Notamacropus eugenii: one gene and its partner. The protein of the gene in region 2 purifies or fractionates together with the protein of the main gene of each other region. This does not show direct contact. Links are inferred from orthologs where the notes say so. Each region holds a gene or a part of one and is shown on either strand. Other genes may lie near its edges.

The links. The genes of interacting proteins can lie anywhere in the genome.
Region 1: the proteins of POLR3H (region 2) and CRCP purify together in Homo sapiens (affinity purification with mass spectrometry; 4 studies listed by BioGRID and IntAct, with this or other methods). This does not show direct contact. The link is inferred for Notamacropus eugenii from reciprocal best matches to the Homo sapiens genes POLR3H and CRCP.

Annotation. Positions count from the first base shown.
Region 1 is NC_092873.1:43,130,578-43,138,568, reverse strand, and holds the start of CRCP (DNA-directed RNA polymerase III subunit RPC9), read left to right. Parts: upstream 1-4,983; 5' UTR 4,984-5,135; coding exon 5,136-5,143; intron 5,144-7,302; exon of another isoform or gene 7,303-7,412; intron 7,413-7,991. UniProt on the Homo sapiens protein: DNA-dependent RNA polymerase catalyzes the transcription of DNA into RNA using the four ribonucleoside triphosphates as substrates.
Region 2 is NC_092874.1:300,584,724-300,592,100, forward strand, and holds the start of POLR3H (DNA-directed RNA polymerase III subunit RPC8), read right to left. Parts: upstream 3,019-7,377; 5' UTR 2,926-3,018; intron 2,914-2,925; exon of another isoform or gene 2,785-2,913; intron 2,453-2,784; 5' UTR 2,439-2,452; coding exon 2,328-2,438; intron 1,516-2,327; coding exon 1,419-1,515; intron 1-1,418.

The DNA.
Region 1 (7,991 bases), on a different chromosome or scaffold from region 2:
TCCCCACCCTGGCAGCCCGCCGTCCACCCCGTGCCCAGGGCAGGGATGTGGCTGCCCTCCGAGCTCTTGTCCCCCAGCCGCTCGGGAGCCCCGAGCTCCCAGGAGTGCCAGGACAGGGCAGGGCATCACGCTGCTGCCCCGCACCACACCCCCTTCCAGCAAGGTGCGGACGGGAACTCTGACTCACCTGATGCAACAGCTTCTGCCCAGAGCCCAGTCCCGCCGCCGAGGCTTTTCCTTCCCGGGGAGGACGACGTCACCGGGGCCAGGCCCCGCCGCACCAATCAAGGCCTTCACTGCGTGGAGGAGGGGCTGGCGGCTTTACCTGCCCTTGCAGTGGGTCGCCTCTTGTCCCTGGGCGTCACCGGCGCCTCCCATATTTGTGTGGCCATCAGGAGAGCCTGGACGGTGATGCAATCTGCCTGCCCGCTTCGGGGTGTGACTTCGCCATCTGGGAACTTCCCAGGCTGACTTGGAAAATGTCTCCTGGGTCCTTGTCCTCCTTCCGCCTTTCTCCCACCTTCTCCATTTAGATGGAGCTGGACCCAAACCACCCTCCCCTCTCAGACCCCAGATCTGGAGCTGCGAGGGACCTCAGGGGTCCACCCCCTCATTTTACAGATGGGGAAACTGAGGCATAGAGCGCTTACGGGGCTTTCTCAAAGTCTTAAAGGAGGACCAGGAATTTGAGCCCAGGGCCTCTGGCTCAAAATCCAGGGTTCTTTTCCCTACCCCACGTTGCTCTCCCATGCTGTACTCTTTGCTCAGCTTCAGACATGGCCCTAGGTTCGGAGGCTACCCGACATTGTTTTCTATAAGATTTCTGGAAGTTGCTATGGGCCAGGATCACATGCAAAACCAGCTACAATGTAGCCACTGAGAATACCAGATCCATTCATCTGTCTGACCTGGCCTTCGGCTTCGTCCTCTCTTGTGCCTGAACCACTGACCTCAGAGCCAGCCTGGTACACTTCAACCGTAAGCAGAGAGGGCAGGGATCATGTCTTTGACCTCCCTGTGCGCACACGAGGGTGACAGGTTCGATGAAACGCCCTTAGGTGATTACACCATCTATGAGATGTCACTGGAAGTAAGTCAGTCCTGGGGACTTGTTTTTTTCTGAGTTGTCATGGACCTGACTCAGCTGGATACCACGTTACAATAAGCCTCCTAATTGGCCTGCCTTTTCTCTCCAATTTGTCCTTTGCATCCAAGCCAAATTGATGTCCTTGATATGACCACGAGGCTCAACAAGTCCCAGTGGCTCCCTCTTGTTTCTAGGAAAAAAATCCAAATCTCAAAATTTAGCATTCAAGGTCCTTTCAAGGTCCCTTCAAGGTCCCAATGCCCAAGACCCCAATCTACTCCCGACGGATTTTTCCAGACTGATGTCACTTTACTCCTCCACCACACACTCTAATCTGTAGCCAGACCATACTGTTTCCTTCTATACTTGGCCTTCCATCATATTTTTGGATAGAGGATCTCCTCAGTCTGGAAAAACTCCCTTCTCAACTCCTGTCTTCCAGGAATCCCAAGCTCTCTTCCAGAGCCCACAAGTCACTTCCTAAAGGAAGCTTTTTTCATTTCCCCTCTACCAACTGTTTTATATTTATTCACCTGGGTTCCAGTTTTTATTCCAGTAGAAGATAAACTCCCTGAAGGCAGGTAAAGTTTTGTTTTTCTGTCTTGTCAGCCCTCCTTTATGATGATCAAGTGAGATAATATTTGTAATGAGCTCTGCAAACCTCAAAGTGCTATTTAATGATAGCTATTAATAATTTAAAGGGAAGGAAAGAAGTATTTACATAGTGCCCTTTTAGGTGCCAAATATTGTGCTAAAACTGTTCAGGGTCATGCCATGATTATCCCTATTTTATTTTTTTTCAAGTATTACATATTTAGTATTTTATTTTTCCCCATCACATTTAAAAACAATTTTCAACATTTGTTTTTAAAATTTTGAGTTCCAAATTCTCTCCCTCCCTCCCCAACACCCTCACTGAGAAGGCAAGCAATTTTATTGTCCCCATTTTATAGTTGAAGAAACTGAGGCAAACAGAGGTTAAATGACTTGCCCAGAGTTACAAAGACAGAAAGCATCAGAGGCTGCATTTGAACTTAGGTCTTGATGCTGGACCCAGTGCTCTATCCATGGTGCCACCAACTGTCCCTGTCATTATTATTATTCACAAACACCCTGGATTTGGGCCAGGAAACCTGGGTTTAATTCTTGACTTTGACACTTTAGCTTTGTGACATTGAGCAAGATGGTTAGCCTTCCCAAGCCTCAGTTTCCCCATCTGTAAAAATGGAATAACATCCTACTGAGTGGGATAGGTTTAGTGAAGACTTCTCAGATTGTAATTCTTCTTCCAGGGGTGAGGTAAGGCCTAAAGGCTCAAGGTTACAATATTTTTAGAATAGAATAGTTCCATATAAGGATATAAAACTGTGTAGTGTATTAGGGTCTCAATGATTGGACAAAACTCACATAATTCCTCAATGTCTTCATTTCAAAAAGGATTGGTTAGATTTCGTGTCTAGAATGTAAGATCATATTCTCAGCTAATGAGGATAATGGTCAGTGGGGGGAGGAGGGACTTGTGTTAGGGTCTATATAAATCACTGCCCTTTTCTTTGTCTTTGTCTTTCCTACTCCTACAGGTTAGCCCCGCTTCTCGAGAATCGAATAAATCTCTTTTCTGTCATCACTTTGAGAGGCCTCTGAGTAACTGATTTATGTAGGGACCTGAACCATCCCACACACTACCTTATGGGGTTATTGTGAGGATCAGATGAGATTGTGTTTGTAAAATGTTTTCCATACTTTGAATCTGAATATAAATGCCAGCTATTATTAAAAACCTACTTTTTTTTGTCTAGTCATTTCAGTCTTGTCTCTGTGACCCTATTTGGGGTTTTCTTGGCAAAGATACTGGAGTAGTTTGCCACTTCTTTCTTCAGCTTGAGATGAGGAAACTGAGGCAAAAAGGGTGAAGTGATCTAAGTCACACAGCTAGTAAGTATCTGAGAGCATATTTGAAGTGAATCAGGGTCTGGCCAGTGGTTAAGTGCCTTGTCCAGATTCTAATCCTGACAGTATAAAAGACTCCAGTTCTATCTATCTTTCCACTAGGTCTTGTGTGTTGATGACCCTGAGCCATTAATAAAAAGACTCATCATGTTCAGGATCTGTTTTACGATTCGGTAAAATGAAGATAATAACAGCGCTTGCTCCTCCCCTGTCAAGTGAAATAATGTATGTAAAGTGTAGATATGTGTATATGTAGTAATCTAAGTTACCCTTAAACACTAAATATTAGCAATTACTATTCTCCCCCAAAGTCTGCTTAAGTAGGCAGGAAGAAGTTGCTGTGGCATAACAGATGGAGTGCTGAGGTTAGAAAAGGAAAGACATGCGTTCGAATGATGCCTTATCTGCTGGATCAATATGGTGGAAAAGCCTGATAATTTGAAGTGAGGAATTGGGTTGGACCCGACCACTGCCACCCTTCCCACTCTAAATCTATGGGTCTAAGCTGGGTGACCCTGGGTAAGTCATCTGATTTCTCTGTGCCTCAACCAGCTCCCTCAGATTTGGCATTTAAATCATTTCTGAATGGTTTCTGTCCACTGATTGAGTAATAGATTTTTCATGTAAGAAGGCAAACAAGTGTGCAGAAGACTGTTCCTCTAATAGAATTTTTGTGCTTATGGGAGTAAACCCAGAATTATTGGGGAAAGACAAAGATAAACAGAGGCAAGGTCTTCCATTCAGCCAACGAACCCTTGGTTAGATGACAGCGACTCGAAGTTTGGATAAGATATGGTCCCTGCATTCAATGAGTTTACAATCTAGCAGGGAGAAAAGAAATGTGCACTGACTAGCTAAGTGTTCTTTGGACTTGCAAAAACTCCAAGAAAGTTTGAAACGGACAGAGGATTGAGGCAGACTTGGGTCATATTCCTTTGCTTGGTTGCTTTAATGGGAAGACTTTCTGACCCAAAACACAGGAAGACAGAGTTCAAAATGCAAGTCTATGAACCCATCTCACCTCTCTGAAGGCAATGTTTTCTTTTCTTTCCTGTCCATATTTCTTTCTACCTTCTAATTAATCAATCAAATCATTAAGTGTAGGGATAGTTTTCCTTCTTTGTCTTTGTATCTCTGGCCTGGAAGAAAACTAGGTGCTTAATAAATACTGGATTGGTCAACAAACATTAAGTACCTACTATCCTCCATCCCCACCCCCCACTAGTGCAAAGTATTGGAGTGGGAGGCTCAGTCCACCAATGACTTATTAAGTGCCCGGTAAGCTCTTTGAGGGCTGGGACTGATTTTTGCCTCTTCTCGCTCAGAGCAGATATAAATAGCAATTGTTTCTGTTTTGGCCAGAAACTCTGAGGGCCTTCCCCTTCCAGATGGATTTTTTTTTTGGACTAGCTAAAAGAGGTCATTCTTTGCTCATTTCTTACCTAGCCTTCATCACTGAAGTGCCTCAGACATGCTCTGACATAAGCTTAAAAAGGTCCAGGTCTCTCACTGCATCCTGGGCCATCTCCCGTCCTCCTGATCAGTATCTGACCACTGGACCCAGATGGCTCTGGAGGAGAAAGTGAGTCCCTGCCTCACTGAAATCCAATTCACTTGCATGTCATGGTATCACCTTCTTGATTTCACCTTTAAGAATGAAGGACAACCCCAGTTCCTGCACAGCACCTGGCCCAGGGCAGAGCTTCCTAAATGGTGACTGATTGATATAAACTATCGCTTACTGACTGATCCTGAGTGCCAGACTCCACGGGCATCTGGGGCCAGCAGCAATCTCGGCCTGATTCAGCCCAAACCAGGGGAGTGGCTTAGGCTAGGGGGTCGAGGGCGTTCTCCTGCTACCTCCGCCCATCCCTGCGGCCACAGCGAGGGGGCTGGGCGCTGCTGCTCCGGGCTCGTAGCTAAGGGAGGGCACGGCGTGCTGCCGGGGGCGGCCCCGGCGTGCGTGCGCGCGCGCGGAGGCTGGGCGGCCCCGTGACGTGCACCGGGTGCCCTGCCCCCGGCCGGCGCCGCGGCCTGCAGCTCAGCGTGGACCCGGGATCTCGGAGCCGTGGGAGAGCGCGGAGGAGGAGGGGCCACGATGGAAGTGTGAGTGGGCGGCCCCACGCGTGGGAGGCCCGGGCTGGGGGAGGAGGGCGGAGTGTGCCCGCATGGCTGTGCGGGCGTGTCGGTGCCCACGTGCACTTGTGCGTGCCCGTGCGTGGGCATTCCTGGGCTGGCACGCGCGTGCATTTGTCCGCGCTCCTTAAACCCCTCCTGTGTGCCCCAGGGGCTGGGGAGAGGCGTCCTGGGAGGCTCTCGTGCTGTTCTCAGAGGCAGGGGGTTTAATTCCGAAATGAGCCAGAATCTGCCTTGTTCCTCCCTCTCCTTTGTAATAGCCCAAGAGCTGGTGTGGCCCCTGCAGCCCGCGTGGGTCCGTGGGCGTTCTGTGGTCAGGGAGGAGGGCGTGGGGGGCGCGTCCGTGGGCCTTGCTGCCTCGGAGCTGCAAGTGGGCTGGGGTTATCGTGAAGACGGGGCTGCTGGCTCTGCCCCTTCCACTGGGTATCAGTTACTGCCAATCCCAGTTTTCTGGGGAACCCCAGCTTCATTTCTCCTTCCACCCCCTTGGCATCCGCACTATATGACTGACTGGTCCAGCCGTTCAGCCCTGCGGGCTCCGGCTCTTTGCCACCCCAGAATTAGCCTTTTGGTGTTTTGGACCTTCTCCCTCCCTCTTTGACCTCTTTGGGTAGAGCTGGTAGTAATTTCTTTGGGTTAAGGGGTACGCACAGTTTGGGGGTAACTCCACATGCTTTCCAGAAAGGCTGGACAGTTCTCCATTGTACCCATAGTGTATTCATGTACCTCTTATTTCTTGTTTCCCTGTTTTGGATGTTTGCCAATCGGATGCGTGTGAGGTTGTTACATTTGTTACTGTGTCTGATTCTTCCGGTGACCCCATGGACCATGTTGACGGTATAGACCCTGGCATGGTTTGCCCTTTCCTTCTCCAGTGAATTAAATGGAACTGAAGTTGTTTTAATTTGCATTTTTCCAATTATTGGTGATTTAGAGTCTCTTCCCCCCCTTATGGCTTGGATTTCTTCTGAAAACTTCCAGTTCATTTCCTTTTATTTTGGTTTATCAATTCAGGAATCAATGATCAATTCTTATAACTTTGAATCATTTCTCTATATAACTTAGAAGTGAGGCCTTTATCAGAGAAACTAACTGCAAATATTTTTCTTCCCCATTTACCTGCTTCACTTCTAGTTTTAGCTGCATTGGTTTTGTTTGTGCAAAGACTTTAAGATTACCTGTAACATAGGTTGCCCATCTTACCTTCTGTGACTCTTAATGTAAGAGTACCCTGTGTATATGTATAGTAGGTGAGAACAAGGAATAACCAGCACTATATGTGGGGGTACAGTGGAAAACAGCATTTGGAATCAGGACATGGGGCTGAGTTCTCTGCTTCATCACTTATCTCTGTTATCTTAAAATAGATTACTTAATTTTGTTGTTTTATTGAATTGACTTCACCTCTAAGTTTCCTTTGACCTCCAAATCTGTGATCCTAGTATATACACATGTCCACATACACACACACACACACACACACACACACACACACGACAATTGGGGGTTAAGTGACTTGCCCAGGGTCACACAGCTAGTGTCTGAGGCTGGATTTGAACTCAGGTCCTCATAACTTCAGGGCTGATGTGCTATTCATTGCACTCTGTGTGTGTGTGTGTGTGTAGAGGTATTATATATATGTATGTATATATTTAAATATTTTATTTTTTCCAATTATGTAAATAATTTTTAACATTTAAAACAAATTTTAGTTCCAAATTCTCTCCCTACTTACCCTTCCTTTTCCCTGAGAAGGCAAGCAATTTGATAGAGACTTTGCACTTGTGCAAAACATTTCCATATTAGCCAGGTTGCAAAAGAAAACACAGATCAAAAAACCCCGAGAAAAAATGTAAAAAGTCTGCTTTGGTCTCATTCAGACTCCGTCAGTTCTTTCTCGAGCCAGACGGCCTTTTTCATCATAAGTCCTTTGGAAATGTCTTGGGTCATTTGGGTCATTGCTGAGAGTATATGTGTAATGCTAAGTCATTCACAGTTGATCCTTGTACGATATTGCTGTTAATGTAGACACTGTGGAATGTATATTTTAAAATGTATATTTAAAAAATTTAATATTAAAAATAACAAAAATATACTTTTTTTCCCCTCCCATCATTCTCTTCCATCAGGAAAAAAAAAAGAAAAAATGAAAACAAAACCCACGTAACAAATCAGCAGTCATTCAAAACAATCCCCACATTGTCCATCTGCAGCCTGCTTCCATCCTCTTTGTCAGGAGGTGGGTAGTGTTTTTCAACGTCTGGAATCCTGGGCTATTGTTGTTTTGAGCAGAATTCTTACGTCTTTCAAAGTTGTTTAGCAGTGAGGGGTGAGGAAGAGTGAGGAGTCACCAAGGTGATGGAGGGGCCTTTGACAGGAATGCAGAGTGTAGGAGAGGGGAAGATTTGGGAGGAAAGATGATGAGTTCAGTTTTGTTCTTGTGGAGTTGGAGGTGCCCTCAAGACATTGAGGTCCATGAGACAGAAGGAGGCCTCAGGCTGAGTGTTGGGTGTCAGTTACAGGAGAAAGAGGGGGTGACAAGGCTTGGGTACCTTTGGGATCGAGTGCCCACAAATCCATCTCTGTGGATGGAAACATGATCTGATGGGTTGTGACTTTTTTTCCCTTTTCCGGGAATATTCCTTAAATGGATCAATTATTGTCTCATTTAGCAAGAAAGAGAAAGTGATACTCATCTAGCTGTTTCTTAGAATTGGAGTTTCTAGCTTCTCACTGTTCTCTAGGGTGAGTGTCATTGGTGGAAGGACCCCTTTGGTAGAGTGAGTTGAGTCTTGGTTTGAATCATGCCTCAAATGCT
Region 2 (7,377 bases):
AGGCAGCTGGTGAGAGTAAAGAGAATCAGCAGGCCCTTGTACCCAGCTCTGCCCCCAGCATCTGCAGGGATGGAGCACATCTCTGTCCTTCTCCAGGACTCAGTTTCCTCAGCCATAAAATGACAGGGCTGGATGAAATCACCTTCTGCTACTTTCTGGCTCAGACTTGAGGCCTAAATCAGTGCTGGAGGCATGGGGGCCTAACAATGCTATGTCTGCATCTGGCCTGCTGTCCCCTCCCCAAACCTGTTCCCCAAAAGACTGACCAGCCAGGGAGCCTCCCCATGTGGGACAGCAGGTGGCTCGGCCTCAGCTCCCAGGCTGGCTTTGGTAGAGGGGCCTTGGACACCGGGGTTCCAAAAATGCACCCCAACCAGTGTGCCCTGGAGTAGGAAGGAGGCCACATCTGGGGTCTGAGGTGAGTAGAATGTCAGAGATCTCTGGGGAGAGAGAGCAGTCCCAGTCGAGAGACAGAGAAACCCTCCCCTCAAGGCTCAGAGAAGTCCCTGCCTTAGTTCTAGCCAGGACCAAGTCCCAGAAAGGGCCAGCCCTGGGGAAGGGTTTGAAGCCCTGGAGAACAGAGAAGGAAAACTGGCCCCCTCCTTTATATGGAGATGTGGAAGGGGACAGGTGAGGAGTGCTGCAGAAACTGCTGGTCTCCTGGCTGGGTTGTAGATCTTTATAGAAAGAGTGCTGACATGCTCTGTGCGCATGTGTGTCTGTGTGTCTGGCGCTGGGAGGCTGGCTCATGCCCAAAATTCCTGTGCTGTAAACACCAGACACAGATAACATACTGATTCTTAAAAGCAAAGAAAGGAGGTGGCAGGGAAGGTGGCTCGTCGCGGGGGAGGGCATGGCAAGGTCCCTTGGTCCCAGGCCTGGGCAGAGCACACCTGCAGCCCAGGGCCCAACTGGGGCACGGCCAGAGGAAGGTGACCAGGAGAAGACACCTCCAAGGGTCAGCCAAGGGAAGCCCAAGCTCTAGGACAAAATATGGGGGGACGCATGAGCCTGGACCAGAGCCAGAGAAGGGCTTAGAGATGCCTGAGTCCAACTCCTTCTTTTACAAAGGAGGAAACTGAGGCCCTGGGGGGGAGTGAGGGGGAGATGGAGAGGGGCCCAACCCTTCAGTGGCACAGCCTGGTCTCAGACCCAGGCCTTACCACGATGCCTGCGAGAGCTGCCTCCAACACCCCATGGGCCATCCTTTGGACATGGCTTTGGAAATGGCACTGAGTGCCTGGGGTGGGGGGGTCATGAGAGGGTAGCCAGGGGCTCCCCAACAATTGGGGGTGTCCTGGAGGAGAGGTGGACACTTCAGATCACAGTCCCAGCCCAGGGTAAAGGCTCAGTGGGTGGACCTCTGAGATCTGTCCCAACCCTCAATTCAGTGTAAGGTGGGGAACAAGGATGCCCACCTTTGGTATGAGATGCACCATCCCCTGGGAACACGTAGGCGTCTTCTAACTTGGTGATGTCATACAGGCAGAGGCAAAGTCCAACATTATACACGACCTGCAGAGACATACTGACTCAGGCACAGGTCCGTGTGTCCTTGGGTCCTTGGCCATGAGCGTCTGAGACCACCCTGCCTGCCCATGGCAGCCAAGGACAGGACTTGCCAAGAGGTCCCCATACAGGAGGCCGAGGCCAAGGTGGGTGCCAGGTTGGGCCAGGGAGCAGGAGGGCAGGGTCACAAGGGGGCCTGCTCTTATGCTCTCCTGGACCTGTGCAGAGGGCTCCAAGGCCTGCCCTGGAAGAAGCCCAGGCGGTGAAAGCAACAATCAGGAACTCCCTGTGCCTCCCTTTTCACATCTGGATGAGAATCCCGCTTCACCCCCAATCCACAAGAGCTGATCAGCACCTACTATGTGCCAGGCTTCCTGCTCAGCTCCGTCCTGGCCTCCTTCCTCCCTCCTCTCAGTCCAAGGATCCACCCACGTCAGGCCTGACTGCAGCTCCACAGCCTCACGCGTTCCCCACCACCTCCAAGACCCAGCAGGGAGCCCCTGCTTGGCACCAGAAAGCCCAGCCTCCTCAGGTCTCCACGCTGCACACTCCATTTCCTCCAGGACCCCTCAGACAGGCTCCTCTCACTTGTGCTGCAGTGACTCCGGTGCTCCTGCTCACCTCCCGCTGTCTCCTCCGCCAGAAGGTGAGCCCGGGAGGCCAGGGATGCCTGGGGCCCCTCGCTGGGTCCCTGGCACACAGTGGGTGCCTGCTGACTAAGGAGGCTGTGGGGAGGGCCGCTCGGGCCTCACACGAAGTTTCTGAGGGGCAGAGGGGAGGAAGGCGGGGCCGCGGAGTCTGGGGGCAAGGGAGCTCACCTTGTTGGCCAGCTTCTTGTTCAGCTCCTCCGCGATGGAGTCGTTGAGCTTCCTCTCAAACTGCCACGGTGGGATCCGCACCGTGTCCACCATCTCCACCAGGACAAACATCCTGGGCACACGCCCTGGAAGGGGCAGGGAGGCAGCAGACCTCAACGCTCCTCCCTCTCCGGGCCTCAGAGCCAGAGGAACCCGAGCCCCGGGGCAGGAAGGGGTGTGCCAAGGCACGGGGTGGGGGACCCGAGGTGGCAGAACCCCGAGAAGCCACCACCCTCCTCCTTGGACAGCCGGGGAAACAGGCCCGGAGGCGCAAGGCCCGAGGCCTGGAGCCCGGTTACGTAGTAACCGCGCCGAGCTGGAGCTGGGGGAGGGGCAGGGGGGCAGCTAGTCCCATCTCCTTTTACAGACGGGGAAACTGAGCCCCAGAAGCTGGCAGGGGCCGATCCTCTCTCCTTACAGATGGGGAAACAGAGGCACGAGAAATAGGGCAGGCGGGGGGCCCCACGCGCGAGCGGGCCTCGGAGAAGAGGGCCCCAGAGCCTCGGCCTCCCGCCCCCGCACCGCGGACTGGGGCCCCGAGACCTCAGCGGACACGTACCGGCCTGCCACGCGCCCAGCCAGCCTCCACCGCCGCCGCCACGCGCCGTCTCCAGGAAACAGGATCACTTCCGGATATTGAACCTATCAGAGTAGGCTCCGTCTCTTAATCCCGCCCCCTCAACTTCCGCCGCCTGCTAGCGGAAGGGAGCATTCCTGACTCCTCCCCTTTTCCCAGAAGCCCCTCCCCCGGCCAGGCTCCGCTCCGTCCTCGAAGACCAAGCCTTCTCTCCTCGAGCCCCGCCCACCGCTCTCAGGCTCCGCCCCTTTCCCGCCCATCTTCGCTCCGCCACTCCATCTCTCAGCATCTACTAAGAAGAGTCTCCTAGAGGCCAGGCCTTGTGTAGGGATGGGGGCGGGCCTTCAAGCCTGAAACTGACATGGACGTTGGAGCAAGGCCAGTTGAAGGCCTGTTTGAAGAAGGTGGACAAACATGAGAATGAGATCCTTGGCATTTGGGGTCAGGTTATGCATAGAGCGTGCCCTGTCCTCAGCATAGGCAGAGGTCCTCCCCGGGCATCACCGGGCTCCTACCCTAGACAGGAATCCAGCCTCTCGAGGTGTCAGGTGGAGAGCCTGGGGCCAGCCCAGCAGCTGCAATGGAGTAAGCAGAAGAGGGGACAGCCATCCACACTTGTGTCTGCACCTGGCCTGCTAGGATAGGATGCATTCCAAGAGCCTCACTTGGCTCCTTCTCCTGCCCTGGGCATCCTAGCATAGAAAGGAGCCTTGGATTTGGACTCAGAGAATTCCAAATCCCATCTCTTCCGTGGAGGAATCTTGTCCTGAATCACTCTGGGTCCCAATTTTCCCATGTGTAAAAAAGGTGTTGGGTCAAATGACCTCCAGCCCTGAGCCCTGGCATCCCATGGCCCAACTTCAGATGCCTGGCATCCTCCCACCCCCCACTTCCCTCACCATGTACTCATAGCTTGCTGAAGGAATCCAGCCCAGCGAGTTTGGCGTTGCCTCAAAGATGACTCAGGGTATTTGAGTTAGTAGTGAGGCATTTGTTTAGCACTGTCCCAGAAAGGCACTTGGAAGGGAGGAGACAGGTAGAATAAGGAAGGGCAAGACTTGGGGGGAGCCAAGGCCAGTACATACAGACAGGGGATATAAAAATCAGAGTATTGTGAAATGCTAAATTATTTGGTTCAGATGATAAGTGCCATAGAAATCCAAAAAGCTTTGTGGAGGACCTCAGGTGGACCATGAAGGATGAGGAGGGTCTGGAGAGAGGACACTCTGGGAGGCTGGGTAGCATTATGGGCATCCCAAGAGCCTCTGACTCCAATCAGATCACCTGTGCAAGGGCTTTGTGAGCCCTCATGCACTATGAAAGTGCTATTATAATTTTTAAATTGTTATTATTAGTAGTGAGAGACAACATGAAGTCTGGCCAGAAGGGCAGATGATGCCTGAGCATGATTAGACTCCCCTCCCTCATGCCCTGCGCTCATAGCAGCTGGCCTGTATTTTGGGGGGACGTTTCCTTTCCTGCTATGTTGTCAGCCATCATATCCCTCCTGCTTTTGCTTGGATAGATCCCTTCTTCATGAGCCAGAAGACCACATTCTGCACCAGTCCTGACTCATACCTGTCCAAGGGCTTAGGTCAAGAACAAAGGGAGACATTGGTAGGCCAGTTAATAAGAAAAGAAGTTTATTTAGTGAAAGCCTGGAAAGGATACTCAGCAAGAACACAGCATGAGGTCAGCTGGGTGCAGTTACTCGGCCCCCATGTTTTCCATGGAGACATGAACTGCCTGGTTAGCTGGCGGGGCCAAGCCTGAGGAGCCCCAACTCTTTGATCCCACAGTCAGGACAGTTCTAAGCTATGAAAGCTTAGGCAAGTAGAACTCCATCGATTGTTCCAGCCTGAGCCTAAGGGGTCAGCCACATTAAGTCCCCAGGATGCTTTCCTTGCTTTGGGGGAAAAGAGAAGAGAATACATAACTGTACAGTGCCTGTTGTGTGCCAGACACCGAGATAGCCTTACAGTTACAATATTCTTTCATTTCATCCTCACAACAACCCTGTGAAGCAGGTGCTGTCCTCATCCCCATTTTACAGTGGAGGAAATTCGTGAAGCAGATGTTACTCACACCCCAGTGGATATCAATTTGTCTGAATGAAAACAAAAAATCAGCAGCTTTTGACTCACAGAGTAATGGCAAAAGCCCAGGTCTGAGAGAAGACGTGAACTTTACCCTGCTTCCACCCAGGATGTGACCTCAGCAAGGTAGAGTAGCCCCTCTCTGAAGCAGCATGGTTTGGTGGGTCTGAGGTCCTGGACCAACTCTTCCCCTTCTGACACACTCCAGAGACGTTGGGGAAGCCACCTCCCTTCACTGGGCCTCAGTTTCCCCATCTGTACCATGAGGGCTGCTATGACCTCTAAGGTTCCTTCCAGCTCCTAAGATTTCCATGAATCTGTGAGCTGGACTTAGTGGACAGGTTGACTTTTCAACTATTGCTGAAAATTCTTGTTCCTGTTCTTGTGAGATGGAACTTTTGCTCAGTGGTTAGTGTCTAGGATAGTGATGAGAAGGCCTACCCTAGAGAGAAGGGCTTCTCTGCTCATTTCTAGGTCTTTAAGCAGAAGGGGGAGGGCCTTTTCTGCCATCGGCTGCAGCTGCTGAGAACCTGGTGAGGAAGGGAACACGTAGCTATTGATCAGTCCCATTTAGGGTGAGATTTCTTGAAGGGTGGACTTCAGGACCCGTAAGCACGGAGAGAAGGGACCCTGGAATCTGGCTAGAAGCACATCGAGTATTCAGGGAATTGAGCCAGGAGAGGTCAGAGGAAGAATGAAGAGGGGTGGGAGGCAGGTCAGGCCCAAGAGTCCAGGGGTAGACCTGGAACCTACCTCCTCCATCGATCCTGGAGGCCAGGCCAGCATCACTCACAGAAAACCAGGGCTTGGCCGCCCTGGAGGGGCGTCCTCTCTGGGGGACCTTGGACAGATCCCTTCACAGCTCCAGGTCTCACTTGTCTCATCTCTAAATCGAGGGACTTGGGTTTCTTACCCTGGGTCTGTGAACTTGTTTTGTTCATTTTCAGATATCTATGTTCCAAATTCATTGGTTTTCTCTGAAATCCTTGTATTTTATTTGGTGCATTTCCAACCACAATTCTAATGAGGGGTCCCTAGGTGTCACCAGACATTTTCAGGGGTTCCCTGACAGAGAAAAGCAAACCCCCACCCAGACTGGCTAAGGTCCCTTCCAGCCTTGTCTGGAGCCCACACTGTATCTTCTATACAGCTCTTCCTCCGCTCCCCACTCCTCAGATGAGAGATGGAGCCAGACAAGCTGGACGAGGCCTTCCTCTCCAGGCTTAGATACAAAGAAATGCCAGCTACGGCAGAATGTTGACATTTAACCAGCTAGAAACAAATTGGGACTCTGGTGGGAGGAGCCTGGGCACTGGTCACCTGAGTGTGACAGCTTGGTTTTTTTAGGTAGATGGAGCCAGACCTGTGATTTCCTTCATATGGTGAACTCCCACATGGAGAAAGTCCCTTTCTGGAGGGGGTCCATTCCCACTGTGAAATGTCAAAACCTGCTTCTGTACTCAAGAGAGATGGTACAAACCTTGAGGCACTGCTCATTATCATAGCAAAATGGCATAGAGCCAGCCCGTGCCTCTCTGGGGTTAGATAGAGCCAAGCCTGTGCCCACAAAATCTTGGGGACCCCTGTTTGGCAGATGAATGGAGGAGACAGTGTGGCCTTCAACTCCACCAGATGAAAGAGTTCTAAACCAGAAAGGAATGACCCAAGAGTGAGTCTGGACTTTTCCAGGCTTCCCAGCTTACTAAAGAACTGGCAATCCCCAGCCCATGTCACCAAGACTTTGCTTCTCCCTGAGATCCCCTCCCGTCGAGCCCCCTGGTTTCCAAGCAGAGCATCTTGTTACTCAGACTGCCTGATGCGTGGGTGCTGGCTGCTAGCTGATTTCCTGAATGAACAGATGAGCATCTTTCTTCTCTACTCAGCATCAGAATACTCCGACTCACTCAGCAACCTTCATTCACGACTCTGAGACACAGGAGCCCCATCACCTTTGCTGTGGCCTTCAAAGAAATCTCTGCATTGAGTAACTGGGGTGTGGACGGAGGCTGGACATGAAGAGGAAGACTGCAGTCACCCTGTCTGGTGTGCTAGCCAGAGTGGAGCTGAGGGAAGGCCCTTGGGCCCAGGCTTTCTGTAAGTCCCAAGCAGAGGATCCAGAACAAGGGCAGGGCCCCCTTGACCTTTTCCCGGGTCACACCCAAGGCATACTGCTCTGCATTCTGGGGAAGGATATGACCAAGTGGAGAACATCCAGAGACAAGCAGCCAGTGCTGAAGGAACTCAAATCATGTCCTGTGAGGAGCATTGGGATTGACTGAGGGTGCTCACCCATGCTAGGGAGGGGCACATACTGGCTTCCAGTCAGGAAAGGGCTGTC